Linked DNA regions of Xenopus tropicalis. The main gene of each other region encodes a partner of the protein of the gene in region 3 in a complex. Links are inferred from orthologs where the notes say so. Each region holds a gene or a part of one and is shown on either strand. Other genes may lie near its edges.

Evidence for each region. The genes of interacting proteins can lie anywhere in the genome.
Region 1: the proteins of rab9a (region 3) and sgsm1 are in contact, whole or in part, in a crystal structure (PDB 4QXA), measured with the Mus musculus proteins. The link is inferred for Xenopus tropicalis from reciprocal best matches to the Homo sapiens genes RAB9A and SGSM1. Residues at the interface, in NP_062747.1 of Mus musculus: Phe37, Thr39, Ile40, Gly41, Val42, Glu43, Phe44, Leu45, Trp61, Arg68, Phe69, Leu72, Phe76; in NP_766306.2 of Mus musculus: Leu256, Leu257, Tyr258, Gly259, Lys260, Asn261, Asn262, Tyr277, Asn294, Met297, Asn298, Gln361.
Region 2: the proteins of rab9a (region 3) and nde1 are in contact, whole or in part, in a crystal structure (PDB 7E1T), measured with the Homo sapiens proteins. The link is inferred for Xenopus tropicalis from reciprocal best matches to the Homo sapiens genes RAB9A and NDE1. Residues at the interface, in NP_001182257.1 of Homo sapiens: Ile40, Val42, Phe44, Asn46, Gln59, Trp61, Arg68, Phe69, Ser71, Leu72, Pro75, Phe76; in NP_001137451.1 of Homo sapiens: Asp99, Gln102, Thr103, Ala105, Ile106, Gln109, Leu110, Tyr113.

The regions. Positions count from the first base shown.
Region 1 is NC_030677.2:147,514,633-147,520,434, reverse strand, and holds the start of sgsm1 (small G protein signaling modulator 1), read right to left. Parts: upstream 4,059-5,802; 5' UTR 3,824-4,058; coding exon 3,805-3,823; intron 3,676-3,804; coding exon 3,632-3,675; intron 1-3,631. UniProt on the Homo sapiens protein: Interacts with numerous Rab family members, functioning as Rab effector for some, and as GTPase activator for others. Promotes GTP hydrolysis by RAB34 and RAB36.
Region 2 is NC_030685.2:34,083,988-34,089,905, forward strand, and holds the start of nde1 (nuclear distribution protein nudE homolog 1), read right to left. Parts: upstream 4,059-5,918; 5' UTR 4,018-4,058; intron 1,296-4,017; 5' UTR 1,252-1,295; coding exon 1,166-1,251; intron 1,083-1,165; coding exon 929-1,082; intron 1-928. UniProt on the Homo sapiens protein: Required for centrosome duplication and formation and function of the mitotic spindle. Essential for the development of the cerebral cortex.
Region 3 is NC_030678.2:105,779,363-105,785,274, forward strand, and holds the start of rab9a (ras-related protein Rab-9A), read right to left. Parts: upstream 4,110-5,912; 5' UTR 3,480-4,109; intron 1-3,479. UniProt on the Homo sapiens protein: The small GTPases Rab are key regulators of intracellular membrane trafficking, from the formation of transport vesicles to their fusion with membranes.

The DNA of each region.
Region 1 (5,802 bases), on a different chromosome or scaffold from region 3:
AACATAGTCTGCCATTACCACATCACTAGGAAGGGCATTCCACAGCCTCACTGCCCTCACCGTGAAAAACCACCTACGCTGCTTCAAATGGAAGCTCTGTTCCTCTAATCTATAGGGGTGACCTCTGGTGCGCTGATTGTTTTTATGGGAAAAAAGAACATCCCCCAACTGCCTATAATCCCCTCTAATGTACTTGTACAGAGTAATCATGTCCCCTCGCAAGCGCCTCTTTTCCAGAGAAAACAACCCCAACCTCGACAGTCTAACCTCATAGCTTAAATCTTCCATCCCCTTTACCAGTTTAGTTGCACGTCTCTGCACTCTCTCCAGCTCATTAATATCCTTCATAAGGACTGGAGCCCAAAACTGCACTGCATACTCAAGGTGAGGCCTTACCAGGGACCTATAAAGAGGCAAAAATATGTCCTCATCCCTTGAGTCAATGCCCTTTTTTATACAAGACAGCACTTTATTTGCTGTAGTAGCCACAGAATGACACTGCCTGGAATTGGACAACTTGTGATCTACAAAAACCCCTAGATCCTTCTCCATTAAGGATGCCCCCAACACACTACCATTCAGTAGATAGTTTGCGTTTATATTATTTCTACCAAAGTGCATAACTTTGCACTTGTCAACATTGAACCTCATTTTCCAGTTTGCTGCCCAGTTTTCCAATTTTGTCAAATCGCTCTGCAAAGCGGCAGCATCCTGCATGGAACTTATAGTTTTGCACAATTTAGTGTCATCAGCAAAAATAGAAACAGTACTGTCTATGCCCACCTCCAGGTCATTAATAAACAAGTTAAAAAGCAAAGGACCAAGGACTGACCCCTGCGGTACCCCACTAACCACACTGGCCCAATTAGAAAATGTTCCATTTACCACCACTCTTTGTACTCTATCCTTCAGCCAGTTTTCTATCCAATTACAAATATTATGTTCTAGGCCAATATTCCTCAATTTGATCATTAACCTTCTGTGAGGTACTGTATCAAACGCTTTAGCAAAATCTAAGTAGATGACATCAACTGCCATTCCAGCATCAAGGTTCCTGCTCACCTCCTCATAAAAGGCAACTAAATTAGTCTGGCAAGATCTGCTACGCATAAAACCATGCTGGCACAAACTAATAGTATTGTGAACTGCAATGTATTCAACCATCCTATCCCTTATTACCCCTTCCAGAAGCTTTCCTACTACTGATGTCAGACTAACAGGCCTATAGTTTTCAGGCTGAGAACGAGATCCCTTTTTAAATAACGGCACCACATTAGCAATCCGCCAGTCTCTCGGCACCATGCCAAACCTCAACGAATCCTGAAAAATTATGTGAAGAGGCTTGCCAATCACAGCGCTCAGCTCATTTAATACCCTGGGATGAATCCCATCCGGTCCTGGACCTTTGTTTACCTTTACATGTTCAAGTCTCTTTTGAATTTCCTCCTGAGTGACCCACGCGTCAGTAGCTAAATTACTAGCACTGGGTATATTAAAAGGGAAGCCTTCATTATCTGGCTCCTCAGATGTATAGACAGATGAAAAATAAGAGTTCAAAATTTCTGCTTTTTCCCCGTTCTCATCAACCAACGTACCCCCCCGTGATAATAAAGTTCCCACCCCTTCTTGCTTCATTTTTTTACTATTCACATAATTAAAAAATAATTTTGGATTCTTTTTACTCCTAGCTGCAATATCCCTTTCCATCTCTATTTTAGCTTGCCTGATAGCTTTTTTGCATGCTTTATTTGCTTCCTTGTACCTGATGAAAGTTTCCGCTGTCCCAGCTAACTTGAATGCTTTAAAAGCACGTTTTTTATTACCAACCTCGACCCTAACTCTTTTATTCAGCCATAAAGGTTTTGCTTTCATAACACTGTCACAAAATGATGCCTGTTTGCTGCTATTGTGGATTCTAAGACTGAAGAGAACAAAATGTAAATTTATGACAGAAAAGGATTTGGAATTATTTCTTGGGGTGACAGGTCATCTTACAAATGGACCTTATAGGAGATGGCCTTCCTGTAATTTGGAGCTTTCTGGATATAGGAGTTTCCCCAAGAGATCCCCACACCTGTATAGTAAAAACATATACAAAGGGGGTAATACACTTACAAAATAAACAGGTAAGTTACTGTTTTTCTACCCCCCCCCCACTAACTACAAAGGGTGTATTATCCCATAGTATAAATACATCAAGAATTACAGATATAAATACATGTATTGTATTGTTTTAATCCCATATATATATAATTGTATAACATTTAGCAAATTATGACATCTAAACACCTGTAAATCTCTGTGAAAAACTTGGCTACAAGAAGCCAATGAGTAGGACATACCAGAAAGGACCAGCAAGAAAAGCTGCTTCCGGAACAAATCACAGGTATCCTATGGCTTACCCAGGGTGTGTAGGTATATCTAACCTGTCAGATGAATCTATGGCATATGGTGAGTCAACTAATACCTCAGACCATTTCAATAAAGAATAATTAGCATGTATCAAGTATCACTGATGTGCCAATGGAATTCTGAAAAAAAGTGTATCAAAAGACAAGCATATTCACTCCCAACTCAATTAATGTTAATCTCAACTCCCATCTTTGGCACAGATGCTGGAAGTAGCAATGCATAAACAATAGGAGGAACACTGGTTATACTGTACATCCCTGCTTTGGGAGAACAGGTGAAACACAATACATGATTGTTACTTGACTGGCATGTAATTACTGTAAATACAATAATAGTCACATTTTGCCCCCACAGAAGAAAGCCTATTATATATTAATCAGCCATAGTGACAAAATGAAAAGGGTGTCTATACCATTAAACCTAATTCTAGGAAATTATTTGTCAAAAACAGTTGAGACTGTGATGGTTATGGTTTTGGCTTTAACAGTGCGCATACCTTACTATCTGCTATCAGACATGTTTTTCTGCTGCTTTGCTATTTCTTACAAGCCACAATGGCAAACGCTGCACTACTTATTTTTTGCAAAAATGCTGTGACAGCGTAGATTTGGGTTAAATTATTTTTCAGTAATCCAGTCATGTCAAGGATGTTTGCCCAGAAGTCCACAAATACAACTCCCAGCAACCTCACCCCCAAAATGCTGTTTGGCTGATAAGGGGATGTGGAGGGACTGCCTTCAGGTTGATCACACCACATCTAGGTTCTTGAGCAGTAAATTCTCAATGCAGGGCAGGTATCCTCTGTACCCCCAGCTGCTGTGAATAGTGTTTCATTATTCCAGGGGACAAGGGGCGGGGGTAAAGGGCAATGCATAGTATTTAACAATTTACTGGGAATACAAATGTACAACTTGTAAAGGGCCCCTGAGGGCCAGGTGAGTTTCTAAAGGTTAGACTTCATCCTTAGGCAATACAACCCACCAAAGGGTATGTGGACAGGAGGGAGTAACAGTATTATGAGCCACACGAGTGACCAAGGGCTGCCAGCTGTGTCAATGAAAACACGCCCAGTCCCACACTAATAGACAACAGAATGGGGCTAAACAGCTACAGATATGTGTATCCATGTCCACAGTGTTCTACCGAGCTGCACACTAAGAGACATAAACATAGAAACCATTCACTGTTGTAGAGAACGATGCTTGCTTCTATCGCCTACCTCCTTCTTCACTGTCTTCAGCAGCTTCTGCCTGGTATCTGCCTCTGCAAAAAAATACAGATTTATTTTGAGTTATCAAGTAAAGGTCGTGCTCCATTTGTATCATAGTGCAGTTACTGTTTCCATTTATTCGCATACATATACAGTAGTCATTTCCCTGTCCCTTCTCTCACCTGCCGTTCCCGTTGCCATGTTTGCTGTTTCTCTGTTCCCCTCCTCTGCAGGCTCAATTCTAGCAGCAGCTGCCGAGGCGAGAGCACAGCGACACTTCCTGACGTCAAAGCGCGCCCCCTGACGCGCGGGGCCGCGCACAGCGGTACGGTTCCCGCGCAATTGGCCAGAGGTGTGGAGCTGCTACGGAGGAATTGTTTTCGGATGCGTCATGTGTGGCTGTTTGGGCTCCTACCTAATGAGTTTCTGAATCAGTGTAGAAGGTGTGCCTGGACTGTAACACATGAAATGGTATATGTGTATAATTGTATGTAGAGGGTATAATTTTTTTACCATAAGTAAAAGTACAAACACTGCAGTGAGTAAATATAAATTTAAAATGTTAAGTGGCATATGCTGAGAGACATAGGCTGAGGTCCCTTACCCACTGAATTTACACTCTGAGGTTAATGTCAGACATAGTGGTTTCCAAGTGTGGGTTTTGGGCTGTAAAATACCCTGTGTAAAGTGACAGGGTGGTAGGACAGGGGGCTTCTCAGCACACTTTGTGTAGGGTTGCCACCCAGCCAGTATTTCAACCCTTTCTAACCTGTCTTGATCCCTATTTCCACCAAGGTCACAGCCTGCCCTCACTTACATCACAACCCCACCCAGTGTCACAGACCTGCCACCTGGTAGACCCGCTCCCCACCCTGGCCAGTAAGATCATAAAATGTGGCAACCTTAACTGTGTGTGACTTTAGCCTAAGTGGGTGGAAAACATAGAGGTGCAAATAGGAGAGTAATAAGCTCTGCTATTCAAAATGGCTACAGTACTGTCTGGTAAGTGCAAAGATTGGGCTAGTGCTCTGACAGGCAGGCTGGAGTTTAGATTAGAAGAGGTTGCGCTCCTTAAAGAAGCTGTGTCATCTCGCCTGAAATTGTCAGGAGTCACATGAACTTAAACACCATTCATTTAGTCACCAGCATTTACAGGCCAATCACCTGATGTCAGGATTTTGCACCAAAACCCTTTGCCTAACCCACCATTGAAAAACATAAAGTTGCACCCAGTATTCCCAAAAGCAGCTGGAGCAGAAAGCATGAACTTGGCCTGGGCAGATCAGGATAATAGTTGGAAGTGGAGCAAGACACACCCTTTGGTCTAGATTGGCATCCCTGTTATAGACAAATTTAAAGAGGCGGTTCCAGAGGTAAGAAGTAGCAAGATAAAAGGCAGAGGATAGCAGAGGCAAAGGACATGGGTGGTGTGTAAAGACTGGCTCTGTGAGGACTGAAGAAAACAAACAGTGACACAAGAGAGAGATGTAGTAAGGTGTAAGGAGTGAAGGGCTTTCTAGATTAGTGGAAGACATTTCTATATCTTGAGAGAAAGGTTCGATCTTGTTAGTGGCATTAATATGATTAGAGAATGATAAGTCAAAGATTAGCATCAGGATGCATACTGATTTAACTGATTTTGTGAACATGCCATGAGTATTCCAAGAGAGCGGAGGATGCCAAACCTTCACAATACACCAAGCACTGGACGGACACTAGAAGAAAGACCAGGGTGTGCTGATGAGTTCTATGAATATAGGTGGAATATGGCCAGGTTTGTATGGAAAGACTATCAGCTCAGTGTTAAGATTAATTTGAGGTGGAGATAGCTGGGCAGGGTCGGACTGGGGAGTGCAGGGCCCACCAGGGCTCCCGCCCCAGGGGCCCTGCAGGTGCCTCAGCCAGCCGTGTCCCCTACCCCCCCAGGGGCCCCCCTAACCCTCCCCAGGGCCCCCACCCGACGTCCTCCCCTAGTGCGTATAAATTGAACGCGTCAGGGGAGGAACAGTCAGTAGGGGGAGCGCCGGCAAAGGGATTTGTCCCGGCGGCCCAGTCCGACCCTGTAGCTGGGAGGCTGAGATCTGGGTCTCAGTGTTTAGTTGGGGGGGAACAAATATAGTTGAATATCACCTGCATAAAAGTGAAAGAGCCAAATGAAAGAATGAGTTCTCCCAAAAAGA
Region 2 (5,918 bases), on a different chromosome or scaffold from region 3:
GTGGGACATTATTAGTATTGAGAATCACAATAGACATAAAATAACAAATTCTGAACTTTAGAAACAACCTTTTGGCAGCACAGAAGGACAGTCTCACCTGTTTGCAAAGGTTGGCAAGCAGGCAATGTAGGCAATCTCCTGGAACAAACCTGGAATTTAGCATTAACATCCTGGGAACAGATCAACCTGACCTAATGCTGCAGGTGCACTGGAATTATAGCTATCATATTCTAGCCAGCTGGTGCTATAAAGGAACCCCTCACAAGCAGCGAGTCCTTAATATAGCTCATGGATGCAGGACGCAAGGGCAAACAAATGTATATGATGGAGTAGGATAAAGGAAGAGATAGCCAGTGTGGCTCCTTGGTCTCCATAGCTTCCTGCTGCAGCTCTAGGGGCTGGTAGCATAGATCACACATTCTGATGGGAGGGGGAGCAGGAGAAGGGAGAAAGGAGATAGCTGCACAGACTCTGGTCCCAAAAATGAAGGATTATTCTGTTTACAAAAAAAAAGGAGACAAGAAATCTTGTGTTTCTTTTGATAGAGTGACTCAGTCTAAGTGCTTATGGCTGTATTTACATAGACCTTCCTGATAAAGCTTAGTTATTTAGTACCTTTCCTTCTCCTTTAACCTGGGCCTGCACTCCTCTTAAAAAAAAAAAAAAAAAAAAAAAAAAAGTGCACCAGCTCAGGGCAGTTTTTAGCAGGGCTGACCACTGCCATCTTCCTCCAGCTTTTCAGGCAACCCTGAAAGAAAGGTGCCAGCTTAGAGTAAGAGGCAAACAATGAGGGCCACTGAGATTCCATAACTATTTGGCAAACCGTAACAGCTTTCCTTGTCCTGTAAGGTTATACAGAATATATTCCGAAGATACTCTAAACTAGGCTGCCATTAAAAGATTTTAAAACCACAGATATGTTAATTACCTTAATGCCATCAAGTTCCATTCGCAAACGGTTGTTTTCAGAGAAGAGGTCTCTGTTTCTACCCTCAATCTGCTGGAGCTGAGCCTCTAGCTCTGCTTCATATTCTCTACTGGCCTCCTGAAACTCCTGCAGCTCCTGTTGGGCTTCCTCAGAGCTATAGGAAGAAGCATAAAGCACATTATAATGTATTCCCAGTATGTGCTAATGCTGAAGGACTCTACTCGTAAAATGGCATACCATGTCTTATATTTCATTGCCACACTTTTCCAGTAAATGATCTCTTCCTCCACAGAATTAAAGATGTTGTTTTCTAAGTCATCCATGGTAATATTTCCATGAGAAGGCTGCAGTAAATATGTTCACGTATCTGCAAACACACAAAGTAAACAATCATACTATTATCTGTACCAGTTAGCAGTAACCACTTCAGAACATAACAAACATTATCAATGGACAATATTGTCGTAGATCTTTTAAAGCTTTGGCCACCTGTGCAAGTCACAGGCTAAACTTACCGTTTGACTGTGATGTGACCAGATATCGATGGAAGCAGCTGTGGGTCCAAACGTAGGAGGCAAGCACTTACTAGTCTTTTTATAGTCTGCATGGGTAGTTTTCTTTAATTTTGCCCAAGGAAAGACAAAGCTTAGTATTGTGAGAAATATATTAGAATTACTATGGTCAGAGAACATGCAGGCTGTTATTACTTCAAGAAAAACACTTTGTCTCAGCAATGTTCCTCTGAAAAAATAGTAACTGATACAAAAGCCCAGTGTCCCCATAAGCCTTACAGTATAATACTGCTCTTTGTGTAGCACATTAGAGTTTGCAATAGGCTGAGCTAGCACATAGTACTCTTCTCAGCCAGCTTAAACATGTGCCATTAGAAAGAAAATAGGAAAAAAGATTTCCAACAATATTATTGTACTGCATTAACGATAGGAAAGTTGTGTACATGGTCATGTGCGTATCACTGGCATGAATGCCAATCACACGGTGTTGTGACTTGTTTTATTCTGGCATCACTGTTGTCTTGCTGTGCAATTAACGTTTTACAGGCACAAACAAGCAAGAAAGTGGAAGCTTGATTTTGACCACTGATCCCACTCTGCAATTTTTTTTTTTTATATTGTTTTGAGGCATTGTTTTGGCTAGTAAAATAGTGTGTAGCATTTTCAATTCATTTACAGGCTCCCATAGTTTTATCCTTTGGACTTTAGCATGTTTTATCTTTGTATTTATACACATAAATGGGATACAATGCTCTATAGTTAAGTGGAATTTTTTTTTTTTTAATTGTTCTCAAAACTATCAGAATATAAATCTAAATTTTGGAACAGACATTTTCCCATTTTAGATTTGTCAAAATGTATATTTTAAAAATTCATTTTTATATGGTCAGTTTGTCTGCACTGTGTGTATGGGAAAAGCAGGATTTACAGGAGCTGAAGCAGCAACCAAGAAATGCATAAGCACTATTTTTATATTGGGGTCTCCATAAACCACACTTAGGTAATCATAAGCTTTAAACTGTTCAGAAGACTGCTGCCATTAATTTTTAGGATAGGTTATATTTATATCAAAGGACATGTCTGAGATAAGATGTGAAAAATTAAAGATTAGAGTAGACTCAAAAAAGTCATAAATACTTTAGCAAACCTTTGCAGTTTCATAGTTTGTGTTGAGTAGATAGTCATATTTTAATTCTATTATTAGTCAGAAATAGTCAAACTGTCCAAACATGTTGAGCTCTCTAAGTGGTGCTAGTCAGACAGCAAACCTACCTTGGCTAAGGACCACATCAATATGGCAATGTTGTCCTTGCCTAACGGGATTTCAAACCTAACCAATGGATATTTTTAGGGCTTATGTATGGCCACTTTAAATTATACTGATTTTTAGAATGGGGCTTTGAAAACCCACTAATGAAGTTTCTGATCTATCCAGGAAAGTCCATAAAACTATATATATTAATTGTAGAGACACAGGGTTTTCCCTGTATTTACATGTATATAATAAAATGTTTAGTTTGTTTTTATGTATGTATGTATATCTTTATTTATAAAGCGCTACTTATGCACGCAGCCCTGTACAGTAGAATACATTAATACAAACAGGGGATTATTAAGATAATAATAGACAAATACAAAGTACAACAATACAGATAGATACAAGATAAATACAGTTGCAATAAGAGTCAAAGACACAAGAGGATGGAGGTCCCTGCCCTGTAGAGCTTACAATCTATATGGGAGGGTAACTTACAGACACAAATAAGAAAATGCAGTATAAGGGCTGTAGGTCACAGTGGGTGACACTACAATATAAGTGCTGATTCCCAGATCAGGTGCTGGGTGTATTATACACCCAGCACCTGTATTATAATAACAGTTAATGTTTTAATTGTCTTTGACTGTTAAGTGCTTTATCTTGTTATGGAAGTGGAATTACACTTGGGATATCCTGAAAAATACAATATTCCTAGGTAAACTAAATGTTCCATCTCATAAATTCCTGTAAAAAGCGCAAAACTGAAGCAATACAGCTAGCAGCGAGCGCAACTCATGGGCTAAACTGGTCTTGTGATGTTACAAATGAACAAACGTTTGTTATATTTATTATGCAGGGCACTGTGTGTCCCACCACAAGGGAAGCACTAACTGATTTTATTCTGGCCTGTGGCTCTGATAAAAAAAACATTTATTTCTTCTACATGTTAAGCACTGTCATGCACAGCACTTCACAACAAGTCAGGGACATAAAGAGCTGGGGGAGTGGGGGGAGGTGAAGGGGCAGGATACTGACCAACTTACACAGATTACAATGCTACACTGACATCAAACATACTGGGAATGTATGAGCTGCAAACTCTAACCTCACTTATACATGAAACTAAGAATTTGCCATTAAGCCCATTACACATATCAAACTTCAGGGTTGCCAGGTAGACAACAATACATAACGCAAAGGCAATAGTCTGTAGTGATAGCAAGGCCTGATGGGAAACAAGCTGCCGTGTGTCACACAGAAATTATAGTATAAACACCAGTACAGGTGACCGCGAAACTCGCTGGCCGATGCCAACTCACCCGAACCCCGATTTTTCGCTCCAGTCCTATCACATCCTTCTCAGACCCGCACCGGCTTCTCTTTCCGACGTACTTCCGGTTTTTTAAAAGACGCACCCGAAAGCATCCACTCTTCTTCTACATTATGCCCCGCCTCCCGTTGCGCTGCAGATGCCGAGTGAGGGAATGGGCGGAGCAATTGAGCTAGTTGCAGGCTGCCCCCAAACTGCGGATTGGTTGTGTTCAAAGCGTGAGTCAAAGCAAATGAAAGTTAAGAATGATGGCCCTGCTATATTATGGAATTTGCAAATAAAATGCTCACGAAGGCCTTATAATCGCTTTGCAAAAAGAGTTGATATTAACAAAAGATGTTCTACATAGGTGACACCACCCCCTGCCATATACTACAACAGAATATTGGAGATTTGGCGTGATACATTCCAAAATAAAGCACTGGGTAGCAGAAAAATACTCCATACCCTATTACAATGCAAATCAGAGCTTTTGAAAAGCTGGTGGTCTATTGCTATTAAAGGAACAGTAACACCAAAAAATAAAAGAGCTTTAAAGTAATCAAAATATAATGCACTTTTGCCCTGTACTGGTAAACTGGTGTGTTTGCTACAGTAACACTACTATAATTTATATAATAAGCTGCTGTGTAGCCATGGGGGCAGCCATTCAAGCTGGAAAAAAGGAGAAAAGGCACAGGTTACATAGCAGATAAGTTCTGTAGAATACAATAGTGTTTTATCTGTTATCTGCTATGTGCCTGTGCCTTTTCTCCTTTGAATGGCTGCCCCCATGGCTACACAGCAGCTTATTTATATAAATTATAGTAGACTTTCTGAAGTAAACACACAACTTTTACCAGTGCAGGGCAGCAGCACATTATATTTTAGTTAGTTTTTTACACTTTCATTTTTTGGTGTTACTGTTCCTTTAACTCTACAAATCTCAGTACAACTTGAACTTCAACTTCAAATATTCATAGGTCCCAGCAAACCTTAGCAGCTGCCACTGTATGTAACATACGTTGAAAGTATCTTTCAAGTGCATCTGACTCTTAATTATAGCCCATGGTTAAGGGGTCCATACATGAAATCAGATTTTTTTTTTTCAGAAAAAAATCGTATTTTTTCTAATTTATAAAACTTTTCGTTATGTCCACAATATTTTCGTTAAAATTCCACGACTTTTCAAAGCTTGAATAAATTCCCAAATGGTCATAGTCATTGCAAAAAATCATACATTAAAGTATCAAAGCCAGAAAGGTTTTTGCGCCGTTCACGATTGTTCGGACAGTAAAATGTTTTTACTTTCGGAACGCAACCACATTTTTGTATGACTGAGGTGGCCAGCTATTTCCTCCACCAGTGGATTTTTCAAGACAAGTCTGGATTTTTAAATTGAAGAGATTATTTGAAGCTACCGTATGAAATGTTGGAAATATTTTTATATATATTTACTTCAATACCCTTTCCCCCCTCTATAGAAAGCTTTCTATATAAAAACATTTTCAGCTAATTTCTTGAATTGTGGTAGTACTAAAAGCATGCACATACATACAAATATTGAAATTTGAATACCATCATGACCCAAACATGATGTAAACATTCCAGCATATAAAAGTTATGCATGGATCAACACCCTGGCCAGGAGGATAAAGCTGGCAGAGGCAATATGGTCACTGCCAATCTAAGTAAGGAGTGCTGCATAAAAAGTAAAGGGTTTTGCACAATAAATATTGGGTTCTCAAGGAATAATGGTGGCCAATTGCTTGCTAAAGTTTTACTTTTAGGAGTTTCCTTGTCCTTTAATTGCACAGGGAGACACATGGAAGTGTGAATTTTTCACAACCATTGTCACTGTTTTTATTGCTTTATTTTGTGATTTTATTGTACTTTGAAATGTACTTTATG
Region 3 (5,912 bases):
GCACAGGCCTGCAAGTTTACCTGCGAGTCGGCCAGCATTGGGCTATCCCACACAGTAGGCAAAGTGCAAAAAAATTACCAACTGAGGTCTTTTTTTGCATTTGAGAGACAAAACTGTTGCGCCACTAAAAATACACCAAAATATGCCCAGTATCATAAGCTGAGACCAGACAAACTAATTCCTTATTACATTTAATGAATGTGAAAAAAGTACTCCCTATGCAGGATGCCTTTTAGCTGTCAAATTATTTATGACCTGTCTTCCTGAAATAGACCCCAAAAGGAGGCAACAATTAATTGATGGGAAAGCTCAGCCTGAAGGTCAGATAGGGTAAAGATCTATTTTACCACAATAATGTATTTATCTATAACCTTATTGTGAGCAAAAGGGGCCTGGATCAAATGTAGGACCTCAATGGGAAATAGGGGAAAGTCCAAAAAACACAACACTGCAGCACAGTATAACAGCTCAGCAGAAACAGGCTGCATATAATTGCACCAGTAGATAGTTGCACAAGACAGTATACTACTTACAGTTCAAAGACATTGGCCAGGTTAAGTAAACAGAGGCGCACACAATTAAGCTCAATGTATGTTTTCCTGACCTCATGCTCTTCCTGGGAAGAAATAGTAGCTTGGTGAAGAAAAAAAATGCACCATGTGTCTTAAAACCTACCTCAAGCTTGATCAAGGCAACAGAAAAATTTCACAGAAACTGGCGGTGTACTGCAGAAGTTAACAGTCCTACTACTACCTGTGAAAGGTTTTCTCTTACAGAGTTCTAAGACCCAGACAGACTGCTGCTAGAGGGACTTGCCAAACTATCCAGTCCCACACTGTTCATTACCCTGCCGCAAACGCCACCTCCACTTACTGGCCCACAATGTCACCGTTTAGGTTTATACACTTGGAAAGATAGCAACCCAACATGAGGGACTATCCTTACTTAAATGGATTACACTTACACCTACAATAAATAGCCTTCATTAGACAGTAATAAAAGATGCTTAAAAATAAAAAAAAAAAAGTATTTTTATTTAAAACTATATACCGTATATACTCGAGTATAAGCCGAGTTTTTCAGCCCTAAAAATGTGCTTAAAAAGTAACAATCGGCTTATACTCGGGTATATACGGTAGTTGCACCCAAACTACATGGAATACGGTAGTTGCGCGGCCTTCAGCAGCATGTACAAGCGGCGCGCCCGCGCGACATTATGCTCTTTGCGCCGCTGCACTTTGGGACACACTGGAGCACAGGAGGAGCGCCCCTGAGCCGTAGGCAGACTGTGCCTGCGGCGTGCACGCTACATTATGTGCAGCGCGCAGCACATAGGGACACATTGAGGAGCCCCCCCGAGCCCCCCCCTCCCTGGACCCCTGTGGACGCCAGGACAACGGCAGCAGAACAGCCTAGCAGAGCACAGAGCCCCACTATATAGTTAGTGTTGAGTGCCAACATGACAGTAAGTGACACAAAGAGCAGCACCGTGGCACCTCCCTCTAACCAGAGCCTTACTTAGACTGGTAACTGATACCTACTGAGCAAGTGATCAGGTTAAATATGCCGCTACCTGCGGATTTATGGGCATAGAATGCTACCACTGGAGCAATTTTTTTCATTACTCCACACTGTTGAAATGCTTAGTATAAGTTGGTTACGATATCCTTGTGCTAGCCGTGGGCCCTAGCCTTGCTTAATACACTCATATTAATATCAAGAGGCCCCTCTGAAGCTCTTTACATAATCACTGCTCACCTAATTAAATCAAAAGTACCCACATGCAGTTCTTCTCAGCTTATGTACAGTCATGAATGAAAAAATAAAAAAGAGAGATGTACTGGTCTCTATATTATGAGAGGTTTACATAACTTGCTAAGCTCTATGGCTAGTGGCACAGTAGTTGTTTTATCAAATTTATATAGAATAATTTTGTATTCATTGAAGTGACATCCAGAACAGCAATTTACTGTATTTAAAGAATACAGAAATGCCATATTTAGTTATTGGATTAAAGATTTTGTTTACCGGTATATGGATGCTTTTCATGCTGCACCATTGAGGGGCTTATACTCGAGTCAATAAGTTTTTCCAGTTTTCTTAGGTAAAATTAGGTACCTCGGCTTATATTCGGATCGGCTTATACTCGAGTATATACGGTACTGCAGTGTGCATCTGACAGGTGCATGTGATCTGCCTGGTAAAATTACTCAATCTGCAAATCCTTCCCCTAGTGCCTATTCCAAAAACAAAACTCCAAGAACGGCTACCTTATTATACAGCAAATCACCAATTAAGAAATGAAATTAAACACCAGTAATTTCAGACACCTATTGGTTAAATTTAAGTTCTGCAGAAACATAGTGTAACAAGTGCTACACGTTACAGTGGGGACTGTCTGTACCAGAGTTAAACAAAAGCATCTCTGTCCTACTAAATGAGAGAACATTGAGAATAAAATGAATTAGCACAATTTACTTACTTTACCGGCACATTTGTGATTATCCAGTACATAAAGTTCCAGATAATTCCAGAGACATTATATTTTAGTAATGACAATTCTATCCACACCTACAAATAAATGAGTACAAAAATCCCCACAGCCATAAAGCTTATAACTGCTTTGGGCTCCAAACCAGTATGAACAATGCAACTTTGGGGAAAGTGAATTTTCAACATTCAATGAACCACATTGGTATGGGTATAAAATCATCTTAACAACATTACAAATGAAACCCAAGTCGTTATTGATCCATTTGACCAGTTCAGAGATCATTAGGCACCAAAATATATTTGAAAAATACACCTATTACAGTTTAAGATTACTACAATAAATTTATTGTTGAAAATCTCTCTTGATAATTGCTTGGTAGGACACTCTAGTGCTGACCCTGCAAAATATATCTAGAAATAAACAACATTATCTTTTTTAGTATGAGACTCCTCCCAAAGAGTTAAAATTCAAAATGTCTTCCATAAACTTGCTGAGATTACATACATTTTTACCATGATGTTTTAAAATATATACATATATCAATATACTAGAATCTAGCCCATCTAGTGCTCTTAACCAAAGACGTGTATTTTATTTCTAATATTTTGTATATACTATAAATTAGATGCTCCCTATTATCTTAGCTTACTATCATGAAAAATAGAAACAAATGACACTGAATAATCCTATACTGAAACACTGCCACAGTAAATAAGCACACAAAATATCCAAAAATAGTGTCTCAAGGTTAAGAAAAAAAATGTTATATATTTACTGATGATATATATATATATGACAATTTGATATGATTATTTGATGGGTCACTAATTGGTATGTAAATTTGATGCTAGTTAAACTTTTCATTTAGAACATATTTTATATATAACAGGTTAAAGGAAAACTAACAAAGAGAAGGCATATTTGGGTATAAAAAAATTTAGATGAGTTTTCAGGCATGTAGTCCTAGAAGACGATCACACCTTACCTGATTTCTGGGCATTTTACATTCAGCAGTCTCAAAGTACAACAGATCATTTTCAGATTTCTAAAACAAATATAAATGTTAAATCATTAGCTGATAGAGATTCCTTAATAAGACCAATCGATTGATTGCCACCCTAGATCTGAGGCCTGTGCTGTCACATCCTGCACTTCTGTCCTAGTGACAAAATATTAACCCCTAGGAAACCAGCCAACATTAGCTTTATCTTTTCAACTGCTGGTCCAGCAATCACTTTTCCATCATATCCAGCAAATCGCTTAGTCTTTCCACATTATAAATGATAACAAAATATACAGCCAGGTTACAGAGCCCCCTATGAAAGTGAAGCAAGCCGGTTGCGTGCATGTGATAGGCAGGACATCTCATATTCTAAATCCCACTGGGGAATGGATGTAAATGTGATGAACAATCTGCAAATGATAACCAAATAAAGCTCATACCTGTCTAGGAAAAGAAACTAAAAGAAATATTTGCTATGGACTTGCTATGGCTTTGTGAGCACAGAAATATTTGTAAGCATTAACGCCTGTATAATGGAGAGCTTGGTTTACAATTCCATATCAATGTATAAATCAGACAAGCATATTTAGCAAACACGACTCCTAAATACAGATCCAAACTGCACCGAAGTACTGAACGATGTCCAGTGTATTTTAGCGTAACACCGAGCTAAACAAACATGTAACACGAATATTTCCTTCATGAGAAAAGTTATAGCCAGCGCATCAAAACTGATGTCATTTCATCCCCGCCGGCATCACCCGCGCTGTTTACCTGGGACCCTTCTCTCTAGCGAGCTCCCCTACTGGATCGCCTGAGAAAACATGGCGAAAACAACTCCGCCTTCGCGTCACTTGACTAGAGCGTATACGGAAATAGGAGCGCCCTTGTGCCCAGAGGCGTGATCTGTAGGACAGCCAATAGGAGACATTGCGGCAGCTTTCCTACTTGTTCTGTTTGTGAGAAACGTTAACCTATTGGCCAGAGACGTCAAACGATGGGCACATGACCGATACTTATGGTTAAAGCTGTTTCTAAATCGCTTGCCACCCTAAAATCATGTGACAAGCCTTCTAATTAGAAAAACAATCCTATTAGGGCAGTTGCGCACACATAAATAGGGGCACTAGCGCAAAGGATTGTGTGGCATATTTACTAACAAGTGCAATTTATACGATCTAGTCAGCTCTTTGCTTACATTATATAACTCCTAAAGCCCCTTTTCATACGGGGTTGTATTAGGGTTGCCACCTTTTATGGGAAAAAATACCAGTTTATATTTTTTTCTTTTTTCCTCTATTAAAGGATATGTATTGCATTTACAGCTTTTTACCTAAAAAGAAGCAGGTTTGCAATATATTGAATTTAGGAAAACAGAACCATTTTTATGTATGTATGTATAACTTTATTTATAAAGCGCCACAAGGGTACGCAGCGCTGTACAGTCTTACAGAATACAAAATTACACACAGGGAGGACAAGTGATATAATAAATAAATACATATATGTATATATATATATATATAAGTGCCATGTGGTATGAGACACAGTAGGAAGGAGGTCCCTGCCCCGTAGAGCTTACAATCTAAGTGGTTGGGTAACATACAGGCACAAACTGGAAGGTAAGAGTGCACCAGGTGTGGGCATTTGCCCTTAAGCGCAGGACTGGGCAAAATAATGTTTTAGTGCTCCAGAAGGTAACAGCTGAGTTTTTTCTTAAAGAGAGTGGGTAAGTTTTCCCTACGGAGGGATTCAGGGATAGAGTTCCAGAGGTAAGGAGCAGCGAGATAGAAAGGTTTAAGACGAGAGAGCGCAGTGGGTGTGGATGGTGTAAAGAGACGGAGGCTCTGAGAGGAGCGGAGGAGACGACCAGGAACATGTAGGGAGACCAGTGAAGAAATGTAGTGAGGAGCAGAGGAGTGAAGGGCTTTGAATGTCAGCAGAAGGATTTTGTAAGCTATCCTTTGCTTGACAGGCAGCCATGCTAGTGAGCTTAATTGAGGCTGGGCAGGATCCCTCTTAGGAGAGAGCAGGAGGATCCTGGCAGCAGAGTTTAAGATTGATTGCAGGGGAGAGAGGTGGGAGTCTGGGAGGCCGGTTAGTAGGAGATTGCAGTAATCTAAGCGGGAAAGGATAAGGGCATAGATTAGTGTTTTAGCTGTTGCTTGTGAAAGAAAGGGGCGTATCTTGGCAATATTGCGGAGGAAAAAGCGGCAGGTTTTGGCAGTGTTATTAATATGGTTAGAGAAGGAAAGAGACTGGTCAAAGATAACCCCAAGGCAGCGTTCAGAATTTACAGGGTTGATGGTCATGCCATCAATAGTAATGGTGAAAGGAGGAGGAGGGCCAGGTTTTTATGAAATAAGCAATCTGCTGCCACTCAATTCTTGTCGCCTCTCCCTCCCAAAGCTGCCA